7 linked regions of the Sus scrofa genome follow. The protein of the gene in region 4 purifies or fractionates together with the protein of the main gene of each other region. This does not show direct contact. Links are inferred from orthologs where the notes say so. Each region holds a gene or a part of one and is shown on either strand. Other genes may lie near its edges.

What was found.
Region 1: the proteins of MORF4L2 (region 4) and RBBP7 purify together in Homo sapiens (affinity purification with mass spectrometry, with the first as the bait; 3 studies listed by BioGRID). This does not show direct contact. The link is inferred for Sus scrofa from reciprocal best matches to the Homo sapiens genes MORF4L2 and RBBP7.
Region 2: the proteins of MORF4L2 (region 4) and ACTL6A purify together in Homo sapiens (affinity purification with mass spectrometry; 5 studies listed by BioGRID and IntAct, with this or other methods). This does not show direct contact. The link is inferred for Sus scrofa from reciprocal best matches to the Homo sapiens genes MORF4L2 and ACTL6A.
Region 3: the proteins of MORF4L2 (region 4) and PHF12 purify together in Homo sapiens (affinity purification with mass spectrometry; 9 studies listed by BioGRID and IntAct, counting the BioPlex papers as one, with this or other methods). This does not show direct contact. The link is inferred for Sus scrofa from reciprocal best matches to the Homo sapiens genes MORF4L2 and PHF12.
Region 5: the proteins of MORF4L2 (region 4) and EPC2 purify together in Homo sapiens (affinity purification with mass spectrometry; 5 studies listed by BioGRID and IntAct, counting the BioPlex papers as one, with this or other methods). This does not show direct contact. The link is inferred for Sus scrofa from reciprocal best matches to the Homo sapiens genes MORF4L2 and EPC2.
Region 6: the proteins of MORF4L2 (region 4) and SIN3B purify together in Homo sapiens (affinity purification with mass spectrometry; 5 studies listed by BioGRID and IntAct, with this or other methods). This does not show direct contact. The link is inferred for Sus scrofa from reciprocal best matches to the Homo sapiens genes MORF4L2 and SIN3B.
Region 7: the proteins of MORF4L2 (region 4) and KDM5A purify together in Homo sapiens (affinity purification with mass spectrometry; 4 studies listed by BioGRID and IntAct, with this or other methods). This does not show direct contact. The link is inferred for Sus scrofa from reciprocal best matches to the Homo sapiens genes MORF4L2 and KDM5A.

The regions. Positions count from the first base shown.
Region 1 is NC_010461.5:13,299,521-13,303,020, reverse strand, and holds part of RBBP7 (histone-binding protein RBBP7), read left to right. Parts: intron 1-2,566; coding exon 2,567-2,727; exon of another isoform or gene 2,728-3,487; coding exon 3,488-3,500. UniProt on the Homo sapiens protein: Core histone-binding subunit that may target chromatin remodeling factors, histone acetyltransferases and histone deacetylases to their histone substrates in a manner that is regulated by nucleosomal DNA.
Region 2 is NC_010455.5:117,615,415-117,618,914, reverse strand, and holds part of ACTL6A (actin-like protein 6A), read right to left. Parts: intron 1,344-3,500; coding exon 1,249-1,343; intron 958-1,248; coding exon 851-957; intron 756-850; coding exon 666-755; intron 1-665.
Region 3 is NC_010454.4:45,143,756-45,147,255, reverse strand, and holds part of PHF12 (PHD finger protein 12), read left to right. Parts: intron 1-1,797; coding exon 1,798-1,918; intron 1,919-3,423; coding exon 3,424-3,500.
Region 4 is NC_010461.5:84,563,505-84,567,636, reverse strand, and holds the start of MORF4L2 (mortality factor 4-like protein 2), read left to right. Parts: upstream 1-1,332; 5' UTR 1,333-1,472; intron 1,473-2,596; exon of another isoform or gene 2,597-2,877; intron 2,878-4,132. UniProt on the Homo sapiens protein: Component of the NuA4 histone acetyltransferase complex which is involved in transcriptional activation of select genes principally by acetylation of nucleosomal histone H4 and H2A.
Region 5 is NC_010457.5:3,523,424-3,527,433, forward strand, and holds the start of EPC2 (enhancer of polycomb homolog 2), read right to left. Parts: upstream 2,801-4,010; 5' UTR 2,470-2,800; coding exon 2,317-2,469; intron 2,227-2,316; exon of another isoform or gene 1,836-2,226; intron 1-1,835. UniProt on the Homo sapiens protein: May play a role in transcription or DNA repair.
Region 6 is NC_010444.4:60,788,861-60,792,912, reverse strand, and holds the start of SIN3B (paired amphipathic helix protein Sin3b), read left to right. Parts: upstream 1-1,252; 5' UTR 1,253-1,307; coding exon 1,308-1,415; intron 1,416-1,650; coding exon 1,651-1,757; intron 1,758-3,073; coding exon 3,074-3,227; intron 3,228-3,773; exon of another isoform or gene 3,774-3,838; intron 3,839-4,052.
Region 7 is NC_010447.5:67,713,344-67,717,511, forward strand, and holds the start of KDM5A (lysine-specific demethylase 5A), read right to left. Parts: upstream 2,801-4,168; 5' UTR 2,355-2,800; coding exon 2,190-2,354; intron 1-2,189. UniProt on the Homo sapiens protein: Histone demethylase that specifically demethylates 'Lys-4' of histone H3, thereby playing a central role in histone code. Does not demethylate histone H3 'Lys-9', H3 'Lys-27', H3 'Lys-36', H3 'Lys-79' or H4 'Lys-20'.

The sequences.
Region 1 (3,500 bases), about 71 Mb from region 4:
TTATCTTTTATATTTAGGTCTTTGATCCATTTTGATAGATATGAGGTAGGGGTCCAGCTTCATTCTGTGCATGTGGATATTCAGTTTCCTGAGCACGGTTTGTTACAAAGACTAATCTTGGAAGTTTCTTCGTGGTGCAGTGGGTTCAGGATCTAGCATTGCTGCAGCTGTAGTGCAGGCTGCAACTACAGCAGAGGTTCATTTGACCTCTGGCCTGGGAACTTGCACATGCCACAGGTGTGGCCAGAAAAAGGGAGAAGACTCATTTTTGCCTATTGAGTTGTCTTGGCATCCTTCATGTTAAGTGTATTAGCATTAAAACACAGGGACCTTGTTAATTTATCATAGATGAACGGTGGTAGCATTCTTGGCACAAACAGCTGCGTGTTTTCTCTTGTGGTTCACATACCGTAAGCCAAAAGTGTGTGGTGTGACCCCAAGCACAAGCCGAGAGGAGACTTCTGGAGCTTTTGAAAGCAGCCCTTCTTTAATGACTTGTTAATTGCATTTGTGTTAAGATTTGTGAAATACTGAAAGTAGGTAATTGGCCCAGTCAAGATTATTTAGTTATAAGCAACCAAACCCAATTCTGGCTGCTTTTTTTGAAAAATAATTTTTCGGAGTTCCCGTCGTGGCGCAGTGGTTAACGAATCCCACTAGGAACCATGAGGTTGTGGGTTCGGTCCCTGGCCTCGCTCAGTGGGTTAAGGATCCGGCGTTGCCGTGAGCTGTGGTGTAGGTCGCAGACGTGGCTCAGATTTGGCGTTGCTGTGGCTCTGGCGTAGGCCGGCAGCTATAGCTCCAATGAGACCCCCAGCCTGGGAACCTCCATATGCCGTGGGAGTGGCCCTAGGAAAGGCAAAAAGACCAAAAAAAAAAAAAAAATTTTTTTCTCGGAGTTCCCGTCGTGGCGCAGCAGAAATGAATCTGACTAGGAACCATCAGGTTGCAGGTTCCATCCCTGACCTTGCTCAGTGGGTTGGGGATCTGGCGTTGCCGTGAGCTGTAGTGTAGGTCGCAGACGTGGCTCGGATCCGGCATTGCTATGGCTCTGGCGTAAGGTGGTGGCTATGGCTCCGATTCGACCCCTAGCCTGGAAACTTCCATATGCTGCAGGTACAGCCCTGAAAAGCAAAATAATAATAATTTTTCTCTACTTGTTTGTTTTAAATTCTCGCATTTTTTCTTTTTAAGACTACTCTTCAGGTGAATTTTCTGAGTGACTCTTTTTTAAGTCTCTTTATTTTTTAAAAATGTATACCTGTTTAACACATTTCTCCTACCCTCCACCCCTGGCAACCACCAGTTTGTTCTTGATGAGCTTTGTGAGTAAATAGTGCGGAAGTGAACATGGGGGTGCATATATCCCCAAGGGGGATTTCTGGATCATAGGATAGTTCTATTTTTTTACTTTTCGAGGAACCTCCAAAACTATTTTCCTTAGTGGTTGCGAAAACAACACTGGCTGATTTAAATAGAAAAGGAATTTATTGGAAGGGCATTGGGTGGGTCGCTCACACGATTGCTCCGTTGGCTAGAAAGTGACCTGAAAAGAGGAGAGGCCAGATCGCTGACCCAAATCAGGCCAGTGAGGATGTCACTCGTACCACCCCTGGAAAGTGGATGGATGTAAAACACACCCCCGGCACCTGTCATCAGAACAGATTCTCCTTTGGTGCTGTTCACAGTTCACAGACTTGGTGCACTGGTAGCTTGCCATGTCTTTGCAGCCATGCTTCAAGGGTCTCCCTCAGTTCCCTGAAAGGAAGCTTTCATTTGTTTCCCTCAAAGTGGACCTAGGAGAGTCTCCCAAACCGAGAGAATCGCTTATATGCTCGGGAACTTCATTGCTAGTACTTTTTGAACACACCACGCAGTGAGTTGCCAGTCTTAACTAATAGCTGACATTTCCCAAGGGCTCCCCATATGCGAGGCATCTTGTTAATGTTCCCAGGATCCTTTTGAGATGAGGAGCCAGGTGAGGGCAAGAGTTACATGCGTGTAAATTGTGCATCTGCATGTCTAAGTATCAGCAGAGACTAAGGGCCACATGTATTATGTAACATTTTCATGTAAAAAAGTGATTTTAAAAAGAGAGGAAGCTAGGAGTTGCTGTCGTGGTGCAGAGGAAACGAATCCGACTAGGAACCATGAGGTTTCGGGTTTGATCCCTGGCCTCCCCTCAGTAGGTTAAGGGTCTGGCGTTGCCATAAGCCTTGGTGTAGGTCTCAGATGCTGCTTGGATCTGGCCTTGCTGTGGCTGTGATGTAGGCCAGCAGCTGCAGCTCTGATTTGACCCCTAACCTGGGAACCTCCATATGCCACAGGTGCAGCCCTAAAAAAAAAAAAAAAAAGACAATGAAGTATACATGAGGATGCAGGTTCAATCCCTGGACTTGCTCCCTGGGTTAAAGGATCCGGTGTTGCTGTGGCTGTGGTGTAGGCCAGCAGCTACAGCTCCGATTTGACCCCTAACCTGGGAGCTTCCAAATGCCATGGGTGCAGCCCTAAAAAGAATAAGTAAATAAACTCAGTCCCTTATAACTCTTGTTTGTTCCTTCTTCAGACTGTCTGTCTGTGGGATATCAATGCAGGACCAAAGGAAGGCAAAATTGTGGATGCTAAAGCGATTTTTACTGGCCACTCGGCTGTTGTAGAGGATGTGGCCTGGCACCTGCTGCATGAGTCATTGTTTGGATCTGTTGCTGATGATCAGAAACTTATGATGTAAGGTGGAAAATTCAGTGGGGTCTCATTATGGGATGTCCTGAATGACCGTCAGTGATTGTGCTGGCCTGTGGTTGGTTGGTTGGTTTTTCTTTTTTTAATTTATATATGGCCTGCAAAAAAAGACAAAACCCAGCTTTAGTGAGGTCCAATTGATAGAATGATAAACTGCCAGTAGGTATGGGCTTTTAAAATTCAAATTACTGTTCTGTATGATTGAACACAACTTTGTATTTCGAAAAAGAAAGGAGAACAGGTCTGTAAACATGAGGAAGGCCGCTTGGGGCAGTGGTATATATATATCACAGGTGGGATCAAGGTGGCTTCCTTTGAAGCCGAGGGAGAAGAGTGATTGTGTCAAGGCCCGGCCCCAGGGCTGCCTTCATTCAGCTGCCTGACATGCTTTTTATTTCATGAACTCATGTCGGAGGCAAGCAAGACAAAATACTGAAATTTGAGAAGGCCAGCTAGGTTTTAGGTATCAAATGGTTACCTTGTTTTCAGCGTAGTATATTGCGGATGCTGGGAATACTTGGAAGTCCAGGGGGGACCTGAAGGAGAAAGCCGCAGTGGCCGGGGTTTGTTTGCTGTAGGTTTAGAGCCTACCCCTTGGGTTGGACTCTGCGTGCTTGGGGTCTCTGAAGAGGCGAGTGTGCGGAGAGCAGTGGTGTAGACGCTGCTGACGGGGGCGCGGGAGAGAGGCGGGGCGGGGTGGAGTGGCCTGCTTGTGTCCTGTGTGCCTTGTACCCCTGTGTTGTAGATGGGACACCAGG
Region 2 (3,500 bases), on a different chromosome or scaffold from region 4:
ATGACTTTCATCTTTTACTGTTAGAAATGAATATATAGGAGTTCCTGCTGTGGTGCAGCAGGTTTTAAGGATCCAGCATTGCCACATCTAGTGTAGGTTGCAGCTGCAGAGAGGATTCAATCCCTGACCTGAGAACTTCCATACGCTGCAGGTGCAGCCCCCACAAAAGAAAATAAATTAAAAAAAAGAAATTAATACATATTGCGATGTGAGAGTCTAATTTACTAACATGACTCCCCTATCAGTAAGTCATGATCAGAGATGGATTTTCAGTAAAGAAAGTCTCCCATTGAGAAACTTGCTATGAACAATAGCACATTTTTTAATATTGTTGACTCATGTTAGGAAAGAGAACATAACTAAGCCACACTAGCAGAGCAGCTCTACACACTAAAAACATTGCCTTAGCCAAAAAATGTACAGAATAGCGTATTTGTTTTTAACCCCCAAAACAATGCTCCTTTCAGGTCTCACAATAGTAATTCAAATGAATATAGAGTTGTTTGTTGAGATATTGGCAAGTATGAAAAAACCCACCCCCAAAAGCTATTAATTTTATTTGTAAAACATCATCAGAGATATAAAGTTTGAAAAATATAAAATACTCATAGTCTGTTCAAACTCACAGCCTATAATGCTTTCATAAAGAGAAAAGGGTTACTTACATTACACATGTAATTGTGCCAAGACCTGGTAACCTGTGGCAACTTCTCTTTTCTTTTCCAGTTTGCTGGAGATCCTTCTCGAACAGGTTCCTGAGTGCCAAGAGCACGTGCTTGGTTAAGAGTTCGAAATATGGACGTAGGGAGTTGGAGATAAATCCCAGAAATAAAATTCAATTATCACTTACTTTTGATGCAATCATATATGGAGGAATCAGTTCTATATTCATTTCTTGGAAGAGTTCTCTGCACTGCATTGTAATAAAGTCTCCAGCAAGAGGGGATTTCACAATGCCTATGAAACAGATTAAACAAGGCTAAGAAAGCATTAAATCCAAATTCCTTGGGACAAATTTCCCCTGTGTATTTATAAATGAGTAATTTCTTTCAAGTAGAATTAACACAACTACCCCTCAAAGCATGAATGAAGCAGTGCTGTCAGTTTTCAATATACACTATATACTAGAGGTTTTTTTAAAAAACACTCAAAAAAGATATTATTTGGAAACTGATAAACTTTGATAGTCCAATTCATTGCTTTATTTCATGACCTGCGTCCTCAGTGCACCCTGTTAAATACAGTTACCTTGCTGAAGGACATAGCCATCGTGAACTGGAATCGCAGTGGTATGAGTGGCTCCACTGTCCAAAATAAGCCCAGTAGAACGACCATTGGCAAATCTGGTTTACAGCATTAAGGAAATGAAAGTATCAAGTTTCTAAAATAATGTTTATTGTAAAGGGAAGGTTTTGTTAAGGCATTTTAAAAACATGTGCATTGTGACTTAAAATGTGTTAAAATATAGGGATGAAAGTTGGTATCTAATAACAACTCTGGTTTAAAAACAAATGACAACAGCAGGCTGGACTTCCAGAATGGTGGGGTGAGGAAGTCAGAGAAACATTTATTCCAGAGATGTCTATTAAGCTGGTCAAAATTAGCAGTTATTCAAAGTACCTGGCATAGATCAAAGGGCTTACAACAAACTTAACTGAGAAGCATTTAACAAAATCTAAAAGAACGTGGTAAGAACAGTGGAAGGCTGACACTTGAGCTAAGAACCAAAACCATTCTCACATGGGATTAATTAGAACCATTTCAGCAGAATGGCAGCTGAGTGGCAGCTATCCTCTCCCCCAACTCAATAGGAAGAGCACTTCCAGAAAGATTCAACAGCCAATGAATACAGCAGATTTCATTTATCCAATTTTCCACAGCTGCAGAGGCCTACATCACATTAACATCGTAAACCTACATTGAGAAGTAGAGCCATTCACTGGGTCATCAAATGTTTACTGAGCATCTATTATGTGCCTAGTGATGAGTCCAGTACTCACTAAAGAAGGGAAGGAAAAAGGAGGTCAGTCTCTCACTGGCATTACTTAAGCACAGAAGATACACAGAGCTGAACCAAAACTGTCTCTGCCCTGAAGGATATCCTCTTTAGTGAAGTAGAGATCAATAAAGCTATAAAAAGAACAGCTATAAAAAGATGCCCTAGAGAGTATAATGGAGACCACCTAACCAATCCCTGGGAAATCCAAATGTAAACTGGGGAAGGGGACATGGAGAAGAGTAGGAACACATGGTTAGACCAGGAGGCAAGACAGCATGGTGAGGTCAGGGAAGTGCAAAGTAGTTCAGGAGACTGAAAGATGGAAGGAAGGAAGGGAACAATGTGGAAGATAATTCTGGCTCAAAATAGCAGGCTGGCAATTAACAAAGATTATTAGAACTGCAGTGTAAAGAATGGGCAAGATAGGAAAGGCTGTGATAATTGGGAAATAGCTTGCACCTTATGCAGTGGCGGCTGACAGAAATAAATGAATTTGAGGGTTTGGACTTGGGTGGGATGGCTTGGAGAATACACAGGTTTTGATAACTACTAAATTTAAAGGACTAATGAGAAGGATTTCTGATCTGGATAACTGAGAGTAAGATGACACATGAAGGAGAAGGAATAAATTTGAGGGGAGGGAAGATAAATTCAACTTTGGACATAATGAATTTAAAGTGCTTAAACCAGATAACCAATAGAAAAAATTACAGTAGGCAGCTGGACATGGGCCTGGAGCTCACAAGAAAAATCTGGGATATGTACATGGATTGGGAATTTGTCAGTGTATAACTAGTATCTGAAGCCAAGGAAATGGATAGTTAAACCAGAAAGAACATATAGGGGTGGGGGGCAGTGGCGGTGGCTAAGGGCAGAAAATGAAGGCAGGAGCAGGAATGATCAGAGGAAAGAGATCTGAGAATAAATGGCCAGAAAGGTAATTTTATCTTAACTCATGGTTACCAAAGTAGACAGATGGGGGGATGAGAGGGAGATGGACTTGGGGTTTGGGATTGGCATATGCACATGAGGTTGATGGAATGACTGGCCAATGGGAACCTGCTGTACAGCACTGAAAACTCTACCCAATATTCTGTGATAATCTATGAGGGAACAGAATCTGAAAGAGAGTAGATGTATGTACATGTATAACTGAATCACTATGTTGTACAGCAGAAATTACCAGAACATTGTAAATCAACTATACTTAAACTTAAAAAATGACAAAACAAGATAATTTATCTTCACTATTAGTGGTACTCTACTGATCTCTGGTCAACTATATACGTAAACACTAATTTTATCTCTATTAGTACAAAGTGATACAGCTAATGCCGGACTAAAAAGCAGCAAAATGGTATGTAAGCCCTCCTATAGATAACAGTTATAAAATCTGGACAAATTATTTTAACTGACCATTTAAAGATACTTGAAAATATTCAAAAGTACCCAAAATTCAGGCAAAACTTATTCTCATGAAAATGAAACTGGAAGGGGTAAT
Region 3 (3,500 bases), on a different chromosome or scaffold from region 4:
CTCATAGATGACCACTGTTTGGTTCTTGTATCTCCTAGAATATCTTTGTGCATATATTAGCAAATACAGATATATGTTCATTATTTTCCACTTAGATAGCATACTTGCTAGAGAGGTCTTTCCATATTAATGTTGACATCCCTCAGTTTTTCTTAATGATTGCATAGTAGCCCATTGTATAGATATCCCATAATTTATTTAACTAATTTCCTATTAGTGGACATTCAGGTTGTTCTTAATCTTTTGTTACTGTAGCTAGTGTTTCAACAAATAGTTTTGTAAATGCATCATTGTGTACATGTGAGTGTATCTGTAGGATATATTACCAGCATTAGAATTGCTGGATCAAAACTCTGCATTTATATTTTTTTAAAGTATGCATTTATAGTTTTAATGGATATTATGAAATTGCCCTCCTTTTTGTTTTGTTTTGTTTTGTCTTTTTAGGGCTGCACCCCCAGTATGTGGAGGTTCCCAGGCTAGGTGTTGATTCAGAGCTACAGCTGCCAGCCTAGCTACAGCAATGCCAAACCCAGGCCACATCTGTGATCTACACCACAGCTCATGGCAACGCTGGATCTTTAACCCACTGAGCAAGGCCAGGGATCGAACCAGTGTCGTTGTGGATAATAGTCAGGTTCATTTCCCCTGAGCCACAAAGGGAACTCCTCCTTTTTTTTTTTAAGTCTTCTGTCTTTTGTCTTTTGTCCTGTTATGGCCACACCCTCGGCATATGGAGGTTCCCAAGCTAGGGGTAGAATTGGAGCTGTTGCTGCCGGCCTACACCAGAGCCACAGCAACACCAGATCCAAGCTGCATCTGCATCTGTGACCTACACCACAGCTCATGGCAATGCCAGACCCATAACCCACTGAGTGAGGCCAGAAATTGAACCTGTAACCTCATGGTTCCTAGTCAGATTTGTTTCTGCTGCACCATGACAGGAACTCCTTTTTTTGTTGTTTTTTTGTTTTTGTTTTTTTGTTTTTAAATCAAGTCATGGCTTCTACTTGATATCATGAAGCATTTAGATCTTATTTTCTTCTTCCCAGAGGAAGTGAAATTGGCAGGTTTAAGAAACCTACTGGTGCATATAGTATCACAGCTTTTCTGCTTTCTATAAAAATGTAGTAAAATTATAGTCTTTTCCTCAACTGCCTCCATAGAATAGTCTTTTGTTGACCATTTGACTTGAGCATTTATATTTCTTAGGTTGCCAATATCTAACCAAGGCTTCTGACCACTTCATGTTTTCAAAACATTTAGATGTGTTTCTGCCACAGAGCAAGTGACTTGCAATCGTGGTTCTGACTTACGTCTTCTTTTCCTCCTTTCTCATTCTTTTTTTTTTCCTTTTTGGTTTTTTGGGGTTTTTTTTGCCATTTCTTGGGCCGCTCCTATGGCATATGGAGGTTCCCAGGCTAGGGGTCAAATTGGAGCTGTAGCCACCAGACTACACCAGAGCCACAGCAACACCAGATCCGAGCTGCGTCTGCAACGTACGCCACAGCTCACGGCAACACCGGCTCCTTAACTCACTGAGCAAGGCCCGGGATCGAACCCACAACCTCATGGTTCCTAGTCAGATGGTTAACCACTGAGCCACGACGGGAACTCCCCTCATTCTTTTTTTTTCCTTTTTGAAAGCAGCCCAGGAGGCCTCAGAAAGAGATCCAAGTCTAGCCCATGACATGTGCTTTTACTAAGATCTGTTCCTCTGACTTAGTGTCATTTCCATATCCCAGATTAGGAAGTCTGCATCCAAGGAAAGTTCAGCACCACCAATTTCTCTTCTAGGTTCTAGTAAAAGGAGAAGAAAGGAGGAAACCACAGGGAAAAATGTTAAGAAGACACAGCATGAGTTAGATCACAATGGTCTTGTTCCCTTACCAGTCAAAGTCTGCTTCACGTGTAACAGGTATTTTTCTTCCATACTCGAGGGACTTTTCCTCGTATTCAGCAAATGTGTGTTCTCCTATTACCTCTTCTAAATCATGTATGTTAAATGTACATCATCTATATTCTGATGGTATAAGGACAGAGACTGTGACTAATTGACCAGTCTTGAATGTTTTACAACTTAGGTGAAGAATCATGATGCACAAGTACTGTAAACTGTGATATTTGTTCTGTTTTGGCCACAGCATGTGGAGGTTTCCAGGCCAGGGATTGAATCCCCTCCACAGCAGTGACCGAAGCCACTGCATTGACTACACCAGATCCTTTAACCCGCTGTGCCGAAAAGGAATTCCTGTAAATTGTGTTTATAGAGGCTAGAATGAGAGGAGTTGAACTTAAATTGAAGCATGAGATATTTAGACTAGCCGACAGGAAGAACTCTGGCCAGCAGAGACATACATCCCTGGAAAAGGCAAATAATTTTTAAAGCACTGAAAGTAAGTTTAAAAGTAGTGTAGGAGTTCCCTTGTGATGCAGCGGGTTCAGGATCTGGCGTTGTACTACAGCAGCTTGGGCCACTGCTGTGGCGTGGGTTTGCTCCCTAGCCTGGGAACTTCGTATGCCATGGGCATGGCCAATAAATAAACAAATGAATGAACGAAGTACAGGTATCATAGTGGCTAGTATGTATCTAGACTGGATGACTTCCAACAGCCTCTAGGCTGCCCCAGTTGTAGCTTCCCTGGGATACTGGTTTCCTTCAAATAGGTTCTCCTCAGTGACAGGAACCAGCTGCTTCAGTTACGGGAGCTGAACTTGTTGGCTTGGGTGTATTAGAAGGGAAGGATAGCAGGAGAAAAAAGCTATCAAAAGAAATGTTCCACAGCCAAAGCTGTTGGGAATTAGACCGCAGAGCAGCAGGACTCTAAGCTGGGCCCAGACTGTGCCTCCATTGCACCTGCACAGCTCAGGTGTGGTAGTTACAAACCATAATTGGCATTGGCTTACACCCCCTCCCTTGAACTGTGATTACATAAATGCGTTACAAAATCATTTTCAAAATCAACCTTTTTGGTTATCAGTTTTGCTGAGTCCTTCATTGCAGAAGAGAAATCTTTACTTGTTGTAGTACTAGACTCGAGAAAGGTTGCTAATGATTTTCTTTTTTTTTTAATGAAGTCTTTGCTTTCTTTAAAGGCGTAGAAAGAACAGAGCAGGGTTGACTGTCTTCCCCCAGTGGGTACTGAGCCTTGATCGCTCCTGCTCTGACAGCCGCTTTAGCCAAACTCCAAACAAACATTCTCTTCTCTGTAAGACACATTCCTCTTAGAAGAGAGAATAACGAGGAGCCTGGTGGAAGCCCCCAGCTTCATCCGTCTTCCTAATAGTGACTGTAACGATCATTGCGAAGGAGAATATGGGAGAACATTGCTAGCATTGAGAGAGGGAAGCTGTTCCACAGGGTAGAGTCTGGTGGAATTCTCCCACCTTACCATAGAAATGGCCGACATGTCTTTTTTGCAGGAGTTGTCGTGTGGCCCCTCTTATCCAGTGTGACTATTGCCCCCTCCTGTTCCACATGGACTGCCTCGAGCCACCGC
Region 4 (4,132 bases):
AATGTATTTTGAGACCCTGAAAGACAAGCTGTTTTGGCTGAATAACAGAGTACTGGCAAGGGCTTGAGTTCAAGGGGCAGGTAAAGTTCAATCCTGGTTCCTGTACTTCTGTATGCACTTGAGAAAATAATTGACTCTGCTACACAATAATTTTTAATCTGTGAAACGGGACAGAGAACATGCAGGGTGTCTCAATAGAACATGTACTTTTTTTTTTTTTTTTTTTTTTTTTTTTGGCTTTACATTCTGCAGCACCCTCTAGTGGAGTGTACAAAAATAAGCATTTTATTTCTGCTCTTCAAAGCAGTGCTTTTTAACTTCGGTGTGCGCTGGAATAACCAGAACAGTTTGTTATCTGTCGTAACACAGAAAGCCAAACCCTACTCCTAGAATTTCTGACTGGTTAGGTTGGAGGTGAGGCCTGAGACTATAAATTTCTGACAACTTCCCAAAAGGTGATAATGATGCTACCGGTGAGTCTGGGAAACACACTTTGAGAACCTCTGCTCTAAACCTCACCCATTCCCCGGGGGGGGGGGGGGGTGTATGTGTGCGTATTTATGAGCGCATACCTGCGTGCATGCACACATGTATAGGATCTATAACTGAAAGAGGTACAACTTTTGTTTGATTTTGATTAGTATCCATCTAATAAGGATTTTGTGAAGAAGAAAAGAATATCTGTGTGAAGAATATGGTAACACTACCTAAAACACAGAAGGCATGCAAAAAAAAACCTGAAAGCACAGCATATAAATCCCAGGGCCTCAGAACTAGTAAATGGTGGAGTAAGGTTTAAAATCAGGTCTTTGACTCCAAAAACATAATACGGTTTACCAGTACCACTACAGAAAACAGGGTAGAAACACATACCTAATCATAATTTCAAGAGGAAAAGAAAATCAGTTTTCAGTAATTGGGTCCAAGTCCAGTAAAGATGTATGTCTTTACTAACTAAACAAGCCATCTATATTTTCACTTGGGGTGGGGGTGGGTAAGGGTGAGGGAAGCACTTGAAGTGAAGATCCTAACCCCAGAGACGCTTCCAATCTTCATCAGCACCAGTACCTCAAGTCTTTCATCAGTTCTGACTGCCCACCCCTGGCAAAAAAAAAAAAAGGCAAGAAAGAAAGAAGAATGGGAGGGGTGATTTTTTTTAATAAGGAAATGAGGTAAAACATTTGTATCTAGGGCCATAGTCTCCTGATAGAGCAATTAACAGAAATTAAATTGATTTTTCCCCAGCAATGAAATATATATGAGTGATTTCTATAGATTGAAGAGTTCAGCAAATCAGAAAGGGGGGGGGAATCCCATAATTCCAGGGACCAAACAGCCAATCCTTTGATGGAATTTGGCGGCATCTAGTGGCAGATGCAAAAGGTATAAACCTCATCCAGAGAACTTTCTGGAAAATTAACTGAGCGCGTACTTGCCTGAAGAGCACACTGCTTGGAGATCAGGAGTGAAAGGTAAGAGAGCCTCAACTCCTACAGAAATTGGGAGTCCCTAGTGGAGGGGAAGTCTGTTGTATATAGATATTCTCTGCAGAAAATTGTTTGTGCCAAGAGAATTGTACAAAACTTGGGGAAGGGGGGAGGGGAGGGAGCGGGTAAGAGGTGGGGAGAAGGTTATTAGGGAACAGGAAAGAAACTGTTTCGTGGAATTGCTAATATAGGAACGGGAAGGTTCGGCTTTTAACCACTGGAGGGCTAGGGTTTAATACAGGATTTTGACACGGAAAAAAACGTGGGAAGAAAGTGTAATTTTAGGGTTTAAAATTAAATCGATGAGAGATCGAAATATCCCTAGCAAAGACCCTTTATCTTAGTTACGGTCGCCTTGCCTTAACTATTTAATGATTTTCCTTTTCATCAGAACAATATTCAAACCTACGAAAGTAGAAAACGATTCTTACAGAGCGCGCGCCCCCGCACACATCCGTGCGCGCGCGTGTACACACACTCACACACACACACACACACACACACGAAGGCGCACGCACCCGCTCGGCGACACACAACGGCCCCAACGCTAGGGGCGCACGCCTGCGCACACCCGCCTCCAACGCCACGAGGCCTGGCGTTCGCGCATAAGCCATCCCCAAGGCCACGCGGGCTCGCCTGCGCACAAACGCCGTGGCCCTGACACCACACGGCCGCAGCACGCCGCCACCCGCCACCAGCATACACACCGAAACCCCACTCTGCCTTTTTTTTTTTCTCCAAGAGTTGCGCAAGAGGTTGGGGGCGTGGCCCCAGATTTGACCTCGCGCTTCCCCACTCGCGGGAACTTTAGCTCATTTCCGCCCATCCTGTTTCCGCAGGCCACGTAGACACTTCCTTTCCCAGTGGAAAAAAAACCCATAATGCCTCCCTGCAGGAAAAAAAAAAAAAAAAAAGAAAGAAAGAAAAAAAAAAAAAGAAAAAACCTCTGGTCAGAGGAACTCTGGGTCGTGAAAATAGGCCACGTGAACACCCTGCCCTATAGACTTATGACCCAACTGCTGTCGCGCTTTTGGGGGGCGGGCTAAGAACCTAAGAGGGCGAACGTCATTGGCCACAGTCCGCACTAAAGGAGGAAGGTGATTGGTTTTCCTCAAGTCTTAACCGTGAAGAAGCAGGTTGCTAGCACCCGCCTTTACTGCGGCTAAGTGTCATTGCTGACGTGGTGGGCTTCCACCAATCATTTGGTTATGGAACATTCTAAAACTTAGGCAAGACGATTGTGATTGGCTAGAGGGCGTAAGCCCGCCTCCAGGGTGACGTGTCTGCCTATGGATATCAGTTGCCAGAGAAACCTGGCTTTACTATGGCGGTTGGAGGGTCGGCAGTGATCACACGTCGGCTGCTGGAAAGAACTGGATTCTCGTTTCAGGTTTCGGGGTGGGGGTGGGGAGAAAGGGTTGCCGATTTCCTCTTATCGTTGCGTATATAGACAAGATTAACTGATGGCTTCACAATCAGGCAGAGCTAGATTCAAATGCCTACTCGCCAACGCCCAGCTTGGGCTGGCTCCCGTTCTTTCTGTGTCTCGGTTTCCATGTTTGTAAAATGGTGATAATAATAGTATCTACCTCAGAGACGTGTGCCTCAGAGGCGTGTGCTGTATATTAGTGCGTATAACTAACGAATGCAAAGTAATATAATATAATACGCTTAATAACTTAATATGAAGCCTGACTCCGGAAGATATTAGCTGTTATTATGGAGAGAAAAAAACGCGTAATAGAGAAAGAAAACATAAATTATGTAAAGTCGTTCATTATAGTGTTTTTCCTGCCCATCATCTCCTCCCCTAGAAGAAATTCGAGATATAAAAGAGACGTATCAGTTTTTACCGATGGAATAGTTTATTTGGGAATTGCCTCAAAATAGCGGGGATTGGAATTTTCCATATTGAAAAGTTTAAAAAAAAAGCGGCGGGGGGGATGGGGGTGGGGAGAGATGGAGAATGAGCGAGCTGGAGATGAACCACATGCGATGAGTAGGCCTTGTTTGGATCCTGATTCGGACACATTAACTATATTTTTTTAAAAAACTGTTTAAGATGCATCGGGATATTTTGAAGTCGTATTCAAATTCGATTTTTTGGGGGAAATTGATGACGATGTTTTAGACGTTAAAATGGTATTGTGGTTATGGTTTCAAATTGTCTTTAGCTTGTAGCAATATATATGAAAATACGGATTAAATAGTAAAATGTCTGAGATTGGCTTCAAAATATGTTGATATCTATGATTTGCTTCAAAATAATCTCAGCGGTAGGGGGACGTGGGGAGGGGTATAGATGAAACCAAATTGGCCCTAAGTTAATCGTTTAAGCTGAGTGATGGGCATATATGATTTCTTAAATTATACTGGCTTTCTTGGTATATGTTTGAAATTTTCCATAATAAAATACAGAAAGTCAGCTATTCACTGAGCTTGAAAAAAACGGAGTGGGGGGGGAGCAGTGGGTGGGGTTATAGATAAAACAAGATGGCCTTCAGTTGGTAATTGTTGAAGCTGGAGGATAGATTCGCATAGGCTTATAATATTATTCCCTCTACATTTTTATCCATTTGCAATTATCCTTAATTAAAATTTTTTAAAGGCAAAAACAAACTAGTTTATCAGAAATCAGGGTAAAT
Region 5 (4,010 bases), on a different chromosome or scaffold from region 4:
AGGCAAAAGACTCTAGACTATAAATACTGCCAGGGTTTGTTTAGTTTTAGATTGACTTTTAAGAACCTTCACTTGCAACATTAAAGACATGGAAAGGACAGGACAAAAAGTCAGAAAGCCTGAGTTTTAACTCTAGTTCTATCAGAATTTGGATTTCTTCCTAAAATTGGGCAGGTGAAGCAGGCTCCTGAAAATAATGCAAATCAGCACTCATGCTCTAGACTGAAAAGGTTAATAATACAGAATTATAAAGGGGAAGCATTTATTTTTATTGCATCATTTAAAAAGTAACTAAACCACAAGTTTTCTTACTAAATTAAGATAAAATGCCAAGACATACCTAAGGGCCTAAAACAATACATAAGTACATAGCTGATCACTGTCTGCAGAAAGTAATATGCATTCACAGGAGTTCCCATCATCGCTCAGTGGTTAATGAATACGACTAGGAACCATGAGGTTGCCGGTTCAATCCATGGCCTCGCTCAGTGGGTTGAGGATCCCACATTGGCGGGAGCTTGGTGTAGGTCACAGACGCATCTCAGATCCCCTGTTGCTGTGGCTCTGGCATAGGCCGGCAGCTACAGCTCCAATTAGACCCCTAGCCTGGGAACCTCCATATGCGGCAGGAGAGGCCCTAGAAAAAGGCAAAAAAAAAAAAAAAAAAAAAAAAAAAAAAAAGTAATATATATTTCAGGGGCTAACTATTCATTCTAGAATAAGGTTTTTAATTCAAGTTCTTCCCAAACCCAAGTAATAGGATCCAAGTAACTACATACAGTATTGATACTTCGAGACTCATTTGCCACTTTTTCTTTCAGGGACATATTAACAGAAATACAACTTCGTGGAATCCAAAGCTGTGTTTTTTAAAGTTCAATTAACTTAATTCTCGAACGTGCTATAACTTCCTTATTTTAATTATCTTTTTCATGGAAAACTGACCTAAGCTAGAAATAAATTTTATTTAAAAACAAAAAGAATTTCCACATATGATTTAGCTCTAAAATCTTCAGCATAAATGTTGGGTTTTCATTTTGTTTATTTTTTAAGTTGAATATTCATTTGACACTGAGAACATATTCCTTTTCTACGGAAAGTGCAAGGCTTTCAAGTAATCAAACATTAACGAAGAATGTGGTTAAATCACAGCAGAAGTAGTAATAACAGGGTAATATAATGAGGTCACAACTGGAGCAACCAATCAAAGGCATTAAAGCATTTCCTGCAATATTAATAGTCATAAGAGAAAACCAATCACAGAAACCTTGGGCCTTCTTTTGACAGTCACAGAAGCAAGAGAACCAATCCACGCACACCCGAGGTTGACAATAAGGCGGGACCACAGGTTCATTGAAGAAATTCTTGAGGGTGCAGTTACTATGAACTTCGCACACAAGTAGCACCACTCGAGTCATAAACACTGTCAAGCCAGAGGAAATTCAACCATATCCAAAATTTAACGCATCAGGGAGAAAAAACATTTTTGCCCCAAATTGCTGCTATTAATAAAAATGCAGCTGTCAATATGGATGCAATAGGTCCTCAACTTCTAAAACACCCCCCCATGGCAATTTTTCAGGGACGCGGGGCGAGGACTGTGGAGCATCGGCAGCTAGTTGCCTAACATCGCCAGTCCCTTTCTAAAGCCTCACACTAAGCAGGCACCGTCCGGGCTAGGCAGGCAGAACCGACTCGCTCTGGGCCCGGAGCTAGCCGGTCAGCGGCTTCTAACGTTACATCCTCCTAGTGGTCGTGGCCCTCAGCCTCCCCGGCCGCAGTGCTGCACCACCTCAATCCTGCTGCACCAACGCGGGCCGGGGTGCGAGAATTACCTTGCTAAGAGGAAGACGATGTTTTGAAAGCGTTTTACTTTCCACAAGTCATTTCAAAAAGAACCCAATGCAAGGCTGAATCCAAAAGTGGGGGAAAAACGTTGCCTAGCCAAAGCATCCCCTGCGGATTAAATAATCCCACTCCAGGGGGACAAAAAAGGTAAACAGAGGCCGTACGTCAAGTGCGGCCAGAACATCCCCTGCGCCATTCCGGGCCGCCGCTTACGGCAAGGCCCCCTTACGGCAGCGTAAGCGGCGCTGCGAGCTAATCACAACACTGGGACGCAACAACATGGCGGCCGCGGGCGGGCGCTGCGCCGGCCGAGAGGGTTTACGCTACTCCGCCGGCGTAAGGTCCCAAGCGTTGGAGCGGCAGCGGCGCCCTCCAGCGAGCGTAAAGCGCTCTGTGAATGGCGAGGCCCGACTGACAAAGGGGAGGGGGGAGGAGGGAAGGGGGGGTAATAAACACTCGAGTCCCTACCGATTCCTCCTCCTTCTCCATCCCGGTGGGCATCTGGGGCACGGCCCGGTTGATGGAGACGCAGTCGTTGAGATCAGGCATGTCCTTGCCGCGGTAGATAGGCAGCGGTTTGGCGGCGTCCAGCGCCCGCGCTCGGAAGGAGAGTTTACTCATTGTCTCCCCGCCTTACAGGAACAGCCCGGGCGGCGGCGGCGGGGCGGGCGGGGAGGGGGGGAGGACTCCCGCCGCCTCCTCCACCACCTTCCTCAGTGCAGCGCGGCCGGCCCGCTCCTCCTCCTCCTCCTCACTGCCCCCGGCCACAGCATGGGCGCCCACCCCGCCCGAAAACAGCCCCCCGCCGCCCGCGGCCGCTTCCACACACTAGATCCGCCGCTCGCCCGCCCGATCCGCTCCCTGCGCCATGGCCAACATGGCGGACATTACCACAGCGGCGGCGAGCGATCCCGGCAGCCCGCGCGAGAGCGCGCCCCCGCCGCGGGAACGCGCCTCGCCCTCTCCCTCCCTCCCTCCTTCCCCTCCCTCGCCTGCCCACCCACTCTCTCCGCGGCGCTGCCGGCCCGCGGGAGCGTGCTCAGCCTCGGGCCGCTCCGGGTAGGGGGGCGGCAGCGGCCCTCTGCTCCGCTGCCGGCGCTCTAGCCGTGTGGCAGGTGTCAGGTGCGCAAGTTAACCCGCGCCCCCGAGCGTGCGCCTCTGCCTCCGCGGCCCCGACACCCAGCTAGTTGGGTGCCCCGGAGGACGGCGCCGGGCAAAACACAGCCGCGCTGAGCAGCCCGTGTGTGCAGAAGTCTGTGAGCGGGAAAGGGAAGATGTCAACCGAGCCACAGCTGCCCCACTGAGCCTGTACTTACACAGCACTTACCTCCACAGCGCCAGCTAATTCTCATCCTCCAAATCGCGCATCCCTGGGAGGTGCGAAAGGTCCATTCCTTCCGTCCGCTCCGAGGGGCGCAGACCTGTCGGGTCTCGTCTGCCCCGAGAACGCCTCCGCAATCCCGGCCCTCTTCCCGCATCTTTTTTTTTTTTTTTTTTTTTGGTACCTGGCCGAAAGAGCTCTCCAAGGTAAGGCATCCTCGCTTTCGCTGAGAGGATGCTAATGGCAGCAGTGAGGGTTAATGTTTGAGGCTGCCAGATGCAACAAGTGCACTTGAACCTGTCACCAAAACTTCAGAGTTATTTAATGGATGATATTTCTGATTTCAAAAATATTAAGCTTATAATTTTTAACCAAGGCAGAGAACATTTCCAGAGTGATAGATCCGTGTAAAATATTGGATGCTGTGGAAGATGCCAAGAGGTTTGAGGAAAAGTTCCTGTCCTCGTGCAGCTTTCACTTTGATGGGATGACAGAACGGTTAAAAAGATGAGTAACAGTAAGAGATGTAAATAGTTGAAGAACAGGGCAACTGAAAAGTAAATGACAGCCAAAAGAAAAAAAGTTTATAACTTGAAGAAAACTACATAGGCAATGACACAAGGCAGTAGAACATGCTTAATTACCAAATGAGTCATACAGGCCATAGTTGCCATGAGAGTTCAGAGAAAGGAGACTACTTTAGCCTGAACCGGTTAGAGAAAGTTCTAAAGAGGAGGTAAAATCCAGTTGACTCAAATTTATTTGGCAGCGATTGTTGATATCAACTTCATTTAGCCAAGAGTTCCTTAGTTAGACTTTAAGCATCACAGTTTTCCTACAA
Region 6 (4,052 bases), on a different chromosome or scaffold from region 4:
CCCACTGAGTGAGGCCAGGGATCGAACCCAAAACCTCATGGTTCCTAGTTGGATTCATTTCCACTGTGCCATGACAGGAATTCCCAATAACTATTATATTTGTATGTTCTCTCTGAAGTATTTGTTACAAGTGAGCTTTACATCTATGTATGTGATTATTTGATTCCAATCCTCTTGAAAGGCTGATGGCTCTGTGAGTGTAAAAGCCTGGTCGGTTTTGTTCACCCTTCTACTCCTGACCCCTGGCAAATGATGCACTTGTTGCCAATGTATTCTCAGCTTTCCTGCACCTCTTCACACATTGAAAAAAAAGATACTGGAGTTCCCATTGTGGCTCAGTGGTTAATGAATCCGAACATGAGGTTGTGGGTTTGATCCCTAGCCTTGCTCAGTGGGTAAGGAGCTGGTGTTGCCATGAGCTGTGGTGTAGGTCACAGACGCGGCTTGGATCTGGCATTGCTGTGACTCTGGCGTAGGCCAGCAGCTGCAGCTCCAATTAGACCCCTAGCCTGGGAACCTCCCTATGCTGCGGGTGCGGCCCTAAAAAGACAAAAGACAAAAAAAGAAAAAGAAATAGGAAGACCTTGGAGGTTTGGAAGCAGCTATGGAATGATAGTTCTTGATAGCACTGGGGCTGGAAAAACTGGTTAAGAGGCTCCCGAACCAGTGGGAGGGTCCAGTGGGGAAGTGATAGGGTCAGGAACCAAAGGCTCCAGTGGGGAAGTCATGGGGTCAGGACTAGAGAAGCGAAGAGAGGAGGAACAGGACTAAGTCAAGAGCAATTTGGCAAACCCCGTGGCCCTGAACTAGGGTGCTGTGTGCCCATACCAGGTTGTCACATCAACCCTACAAGTACGAGTCAAGAACATTTTATTATATATCAGGCTGTGTAGATCTTAGCGTCTGTCGCAGTTATTCACCCCGCTGTTGTACTGCAAAATTAGCCAGAGATGACAGGTAAACAAGTGGGCATGCCTATGTTCCAATAAAACTTTATTTTTGCAGACACTGAAATTTAAATTTCATAGAATTTTCACGTGTCACGGAATAGTCTTCTCCCTTGGATTTTTCTTCCAACTTTTAAAATTGTAAAAATTATTCCGATCTTGCTTTGGGGGCCAGACAGAAGCAGGCGGCAGGTTTTGGTTTGCTCACAGTGGTATATGTCAGGACAGTCGCGTTTCAGTTTTATGGGGTAAGATCCTACCGCAGAGTCCTTGAAAGAGCCCCGCCTTCAGGGCGGAGCCAGCGCATGCGCGGCCGGCCCCCGGGCGGGGGCGGGGCGGGCTGTGGCTCCGACTTCCAACATGGCGCACGCTGGCGGTGGCGGCGGCGGCGGCCCAGCGGGCCGGGGGCTGAGCGGGGCCCGCTGGGGTCGCTCGGGCTCTGCGGGCCATGAGAAGCTGCCAGTGCACGTGAGTGGCGCCCCAGCTCTCCCTCGAGCACCCCGTCGTCCAGTTCCCGCAGGCCGGCGCCCCCCACCCAAGCCCCGCCCGGCCCCGGCCCCGCCTCGGCCTCCTCTCCGCGCAGCCCCAGACCCCCGACTCCCCACCTCCGCTCCTTGAGGCCCAGCCGGTTGCCCCTCCCGCCAGGGTCCCCCGCCCCCTCCTCCGCAGACCGCGGCCCACCTGGACTTTCCCCTCCCCGCAGGTGGAGGACGCCCTCACCTACCTGGACCAGGTGAAGATCCGTTTCGGCAGCGACCCTGCCACTTACAACGGCTTCCTGGAGATCATGAAGGAATTCAAAAGCCAGAGGTACCTGCCGGGCCCCTGCCCACCCCAGGGGACCGTCCTGGGCCGCAGTCAGCCTGAGCTGGGTGGGAGCCCCTTACCCTGGCTGCCCCATGACGGGGTGACCTTGCCCAGGTGGTCAGAACTTAGCGGATCCTCAGTTCCTTCTTAAAAAAAAAAAAAAACTGGGACGGGAGGGACCCCCCGGGAGGGACCCCCCCCCCTTCACCCGCCCCGCCGTGGCCCTGTTGTGGGGATTCCTGGACCGAGGGCAGGGATGGGGTGAGGCAAGTGAGCAAACACAGGGTAGGATCCCGTCTTTACTCAAAATGTTGATTTTTAAGTGAATTTCATTTTTCGAGGCTTTTTAAAAGTTAATTTTTATCTTTTGATCAAGCAGTGCATGAAAATGTTATTAATTTTGGTTATCGACCGTATTGGCACTGTGTCCCTCTTAAATCTTATCCCCAAGGTGAGTTCCTCACTCCCTTCACTCCAGTCCCAGGCCTACTTGAAGTAATGCGCACAAAATGCTTAGTAAGGAATCTGGCACTAAGAAGGCATTTAAAACATGTTAGCTGTTTTCACAGGCACTGAATCAGGAGGGTTAGAGATAGATGGGAGACCTCCCTCCCGATGGTGCTCTTGTTGGAAAGGATGCTCATTGAGGCTTAGAGTGGGTCAAGGGGTTGTCCAGACCCACCTTAGGGGCAGAGGCGGGACCAGAACTGGTTCTGTCTGACTTAGATTCGCCAGTGTCACATCCCCTCCGTGCTGCTTCTCCCTCTAAGGAAACAGGGTAGGGCCCACCTGGTTGCCTTCCACAGGCACAAGGCTAAAGCCTTGGCCCTGACTGCAGCCCTGAGGGAGACCCCATCTCTGCCCTCCGATTCTTATGCCACTTCCATACTTGCATGGCCTTTGCATTATAGTCAGTTGCTGGGAACAACTCCAGTGTCATAGTCCATCTCTAATTCATGCGAAATGGAGGAATTTATCTCCCCTTTAGAGGGTTTTGACATGTCACTTCTTGGAGCCCACAATTTAAAATTGGCTCTCCTGACATTTTCAGAACCTAGCACATGTGCTTGCAGTGTTTTGGGAGCCGTGCTGTGTACATATTCTGTGGATTTTGCCAGGAAGGCACTGGGAGCCCAGGCCTGGCTGCCTTAGCAGCGGATCACCACCAGCAGAATCACTCCAGTCACATTTTAGGGTGGTTGGTTCTTTGTCCGTTGAGAAGCTTGTGACATGGCACGGTTAAGGGAGTCACGAGTAGATTTCTCTTTTAATCTGCTCCCCAGGACGCCTCTGCCCACTCTTGTTCTTCTTTGTTCTAGTATCGATACTCCAGGAGTCATCCGGCGAGTGTCACAGCTATTCCACGAACACCCTGACCTCATTGTCGGATTCAACGCTTTCCTTCCTCTCGGCTACAGAATAGACATTCCCAAGAATGGCAAGTTAAACATACAGTCGCCTCTGTCGAGCCAGGTATGCGGCTGCCGTGGTTTGAATGATCTGACCTTAGCACAGCCCACCCTGGTACGCAGGCCGGGCAGCGTGTCTCGTGTACTTCATTGCTAGAAAGGTGGTGAAGATCTGGTCTTTTTCCTGAAATGCTTCTAACGCAAATCAAAATAGATCAAAACACCTACCCAGGCAGGCTCTGCATCCCAAATTGATCCTTTTGGCAGATTTAAATCAGGAGTGGATGTGTTTGTGCGTGCCAGGGAGGCATTCTTCTAACACAGTTTTATGTCCAGTCAAGATAATTGTGTCCACAGTCACTGAAGTCTTGGTTGGAGGTTCTTCCTCTGAGTGCCTTAGGCAGGCCTCACTTGTACTTGGGCCTGTGGCCCCTTCTGATCACCCTCAGTGCCACCCACAAAATAAAAGCAGCAGAGGTGCATGTGTGACTAGCCATTTTTGTTGCTGTGCTTCATTTACCTGCTGACAGGATCATTGACTGAGCTCAGGCTTGTGGCTTTGGTCCCTTCTTTCTTAAATGACAGCTTGCTGCCTCTTCTGTCTCTGCAGTCCCTCCTTGCTTGAGCTCACCAGACTCCCTGAGAAAAAGCCTGTTTGAGCTTTACTTTTCTAAGGTAACCATTGTCTTTTTCTCTCCTCGACCCTGTTGCCGTGTAAGGCATAACACTTTGCTGTGGGGGTGTTGTCCAGGGCATCATGGAGTGTTTAGCAGTGTCCCTGGCCTCCACCCACTAGATCCCCACCCAGTCAAGACAGCTAAAAATGTCTCCAGACATAGCCAAGTGTCTCCTGCGGGCAAAATTACTGCGTTGAGAACCACTGGTGTAA
Region 7 (4,168 bases), on a different chromosome or scaffold from region 4:
ATTATTTACATCCCAGTTACACCTTCCCTAGTTACTCAAGTGGGATGCAACAACTTCAGGTGTCTCAATACTGTGTCTAATAAACATCCAAGTTTATCAAATTACAAGGAAAACAAAATTTGAAAGAAACAAAAACAGGTAAAATTAAAGCCCCAAAACTAACTTTCAAAAAGTACTTATGTAATTGGATAATGTTTTTTATTCATGTTCAATGTGACACAGCACTTTATAAGACTGTTATATAAATGTTTTGTCCAAAGCCCAGCTTCTGGGCACCCAGATATTCAAAAAAAAAAAAAAAAAGGCAAACCCACAGAACAAGGATAATTTCCAGATTAAAAATGTGCTATAAATGAAATGAGAAAACACATTTCAAGTAGAGTTCCAGACAACATAGTTTGATTTGGCCTAAATAATAGTAAATGCATTTAAAAATGTGAAAAGTAGTCAAAAAATTTTTTATCTTACCTTGGAAACTAAAGAAATCCCCTAATATTGAAATACTGAAATGTTTGTAAACATTTATTTTAAATAACAATTACATGACACAGAGAAGGTATATTATTTCAGTCTTTTTTAAGTAATACAGCTATATTTTAAAAAAATGAACAGTCTCTATTCATTAAGGCGATACACTAGATGAATACATGGGTTAGGAAAAACTTCAGTACTTAAGGTTTTGTCAATATTAGGTAATCTTTACAGAAAAAGTATTAAGTGACAATTAAAAATTTTAAAGAGTTAAACTTTTGGAGGATGACAATACATATATCCTCATTCATCACAGTAATTATTTGTTCAACCTTCTCTGCCAACTGATAGTCTATAATCTTAAATTCATTGAGAACTAGGGGAGAAGCTTGTCTGGGTTTTAAAAACAAACAGACTGATCTAGATTCAAAACTTACTTTGCCACTGCCCAAGATCACATATCTAAGTTATTTAACTTATGCAGATTTGCCTCATCTGTAAAATGAGACCTTGTTTCCCTTCTGGAGCTTCAAACAATATTAAATGAAATAATCTGTAAACGCTGAATTAGCTCCCCCTCTCCCCAAGCCCCCCCCCCCCACGGTCTAAGCTCTTTTTACTCACAGTGCTGCACACACCTCTGGGATAGCCTGTGGCCAGAGCAGATGCTTTTTAAAATACAATGGATAAAAGGACAATATGTTATTTTTATTGCTAGTAGACAGGACATAAAGCAAGGTACTCCTTTAAGAAGCACTAAGGGTAGGGTTCACACACTTTAATGTTCATTAAGCATCATGAGAGTACTTATTGGAAAAGCAGCTTCTAGAACTTTCATATCCAGAAACTGATTCTAGACTGGGAATGAGGCCTAGAGATATGCATTTTAACAAGCATCCGGCTGCCTCCGGTGCAGGTGAACCAGGAATGTCATTTGGAAAGCACTGGTCTGACGAATAGAGAAAAAAACCTTTTGACCTTGAGCAAGTATTCAACCTCTTGGGGCACTAAATTTCATCGTAAAGATTGATATTATAACTAATCCACTGGCAAACCCAGTTATTTGCTATCATCGCGATTCGCAAATCTTTGATTCATGGTTCCTTACAGCAAAAGATTCGACATTTTCTTCCACCTCATTTGACAAATCCTTTCTAAGCCTCTAGATTTTAAAAATAAATGCTGCTGCTGCTCCTCCCCCGAGAAGACTTTTCATTGCAGCAGTAATCACTCTGGGGTTCTTGTTTGGTGAAACCATCCTAAGGGAACAACTAGAGGTTTACATTACCATCTTAAAAACCTCAGCCCTGAGATGAGGCCTCCAAATACTTAATAAATCAAGCATCAAAAGGGCTTGAAGAAACAGCCCACCGATCGAACAGCAGTTTTTACTGTGACACCTTAATAAGAATTATACGCGAGTGTAAAGACGTCGTGTCAGTAACTCAAACACCTTACAGGCCAACGAAAGACCGAAAGCTTTTGTTACCCTTGCCCACAACCCAATAGAGGAAGGAAAGTATCAGTTCCCAAGTTCTAGGCGGAAAGGCCCCAGGGGCACCACTCTCTCGCGTCCGGACGTGCCTACATGAGACCCCAAAGAAACCAAGGCAGAAACATCCAAAAACGCAGCGTCCAGGTGTCGAGAAACCAGGGCAAGTGAACGTGAAAGGACAGAAGGGCCGGGAAGTCAAGCGAACCCGATCAGACTCCGGTACCTTGGGCGGTCGGATTTTGCAGATGCCGGTCTTCTCCGCCAGGGGCCGGATGCGGCCGATGAAGCTGAGCGGGTCTGTGAACTCCTCCCAGCTGGGTTCAAAGACCGGGCACTCCGGAGGCGGCACAAACTCCGCCGCGTAGCCCCCCGGCCCAATGCCCGCCATGGTCGCACAGGGGCCCGCGGCGCAGAGAGAGTAGCTTTGGGTGGGCCCACTGATGGCGCTCACGTCCGCTGACAGGGGCCGAAGCTCATCTTCTCAGGCGAAACCCGCTCAACGCAAGAAACCCTAAACCGCTTCCTCCAACGTTTGTTATTGTTTCCTTCGGGGCTTTTCCTCTCAGGTCGGGGCTCGCCGGAAGTCAGCGTACGACCAAATCCCTCCGCCACCCAGAAACAGGATCCCTCCGCAGCAGTGCCCAGTTGCGCGACCTTCCTCTCTCTCTTTTTCCAGACAACACAGGTCGCTCCTTGGCTCTTCGACCGCGGAAGGTCCGCGCTGCCGACGTCTCCTAGGGCTCAGTCTAGCGGCCCCGTGGCCCCCTCCCACTGGGGCGGTGGGGAACAACCAAACGAGCAGGGCGCTCTTCCGGCGCGGGGGGCTGCGTAATGCGCCGGGGACTGCGTAATGCGCCAAGGGCAGAGGTTCTGCTTCCGGTGAGCGGAACCCGGTTCCCCTTTGTGTGTAGGTGGTCCCCAGGGCGAGCCGTCTGATTTTGCTGTGCTGACTCTTTCACCTACCGTGTATGATTCCAAATAACTACTTTCTCCAGCATCTGTCTCTCTCTCTCTCTTTTTTTTTTTTGGTCCTTTCACTGTTAGTGTCCCTTTCGAATAATCTCGGACACTTTAATCCGCCCCATCTCCATGGCAACAAATTCGGGTCCAGCCCATCCCCCCAATCTCCCGGCTGGCCGGCCTTCGTTACCGTCTAAGAATTGATTTCCGACCACAAAGAAATAACGGCTCTTGAAACTTACTTTTACAACCGTTGATAACCCCCACATCGTCTTAACAGCAATCGCTCTCTTCTGGTAGCAGTGCACCTTGAGACTTTCTCAGTTTGCTCTAACAGCTAGGGCAGCTGTTCCGGCCCTGCTTGTAAAAAACCTCTATGCCAGAGCCCCTCTCCACTTAGTCCAAATTCCGGAAAATGACGCAGAAAAGACTAAAGACGCCGTGAAAGGATAGTTCTTGTATTGAACATCAATCGGAAGACTTACTTCCCGAGGCTTGTTCTCATGCTCCCTGCTCAGTCTAAGCCTCCCCCAGGACCTAAATGGTGATGACTTCCAAATCTCTTATTTCCAGCCTGGACTCCTCTCCTGAGTTACAAGCCAGTACTTCTAGCTACGTAATGGACAGCTCCACTTTGGTGAACTCAGAAAACTTGAACTTGTAGGTCCCCACTGTTTTTTCAGTGTTTCTGATTTCTATGCATGTCTTCATCCTTCTACTCAGTTGCCTGAACCAGAATCTAGAAGTAATCCTTAATTCCTGCTCCTTCACTCCCCACTTAAAATCCAGTGTCAAGTATGGAGATTCTGTCATCTAAAAATAAATCCATTATATATATATATATATATATATATATATACATATACACACACACACATATATATAATAAATATAAATCCACTCATGCCTGTACATCCAAATTATCAGGATCCTGGAGTTACTGTTGTGGCCCAGCAGAAACTGATCCAACTAGTATCCGTCTGGGTTTGATCCCCCGCCTCGCTCAGTGGGTCGGGATCTGGCATTGCCATGAGCTGTGGTGTATATAGGTCCCAGAGGGCAAGGATTCCGCCTTGCTCTGGCTGTGGCTGTGGCATAGGCTGGCAGCTGTAGCTCCAATTCAGTCCCTAGCCTGGGATCCATATGCCGCTGGTGTGGCCCTAAAAAAGCAAAAAATATGTCTGTGTGTGTGTCTGTGTGTATACATACATCAGGATGCTAGTTAAGTTCTCTCTCACCTGG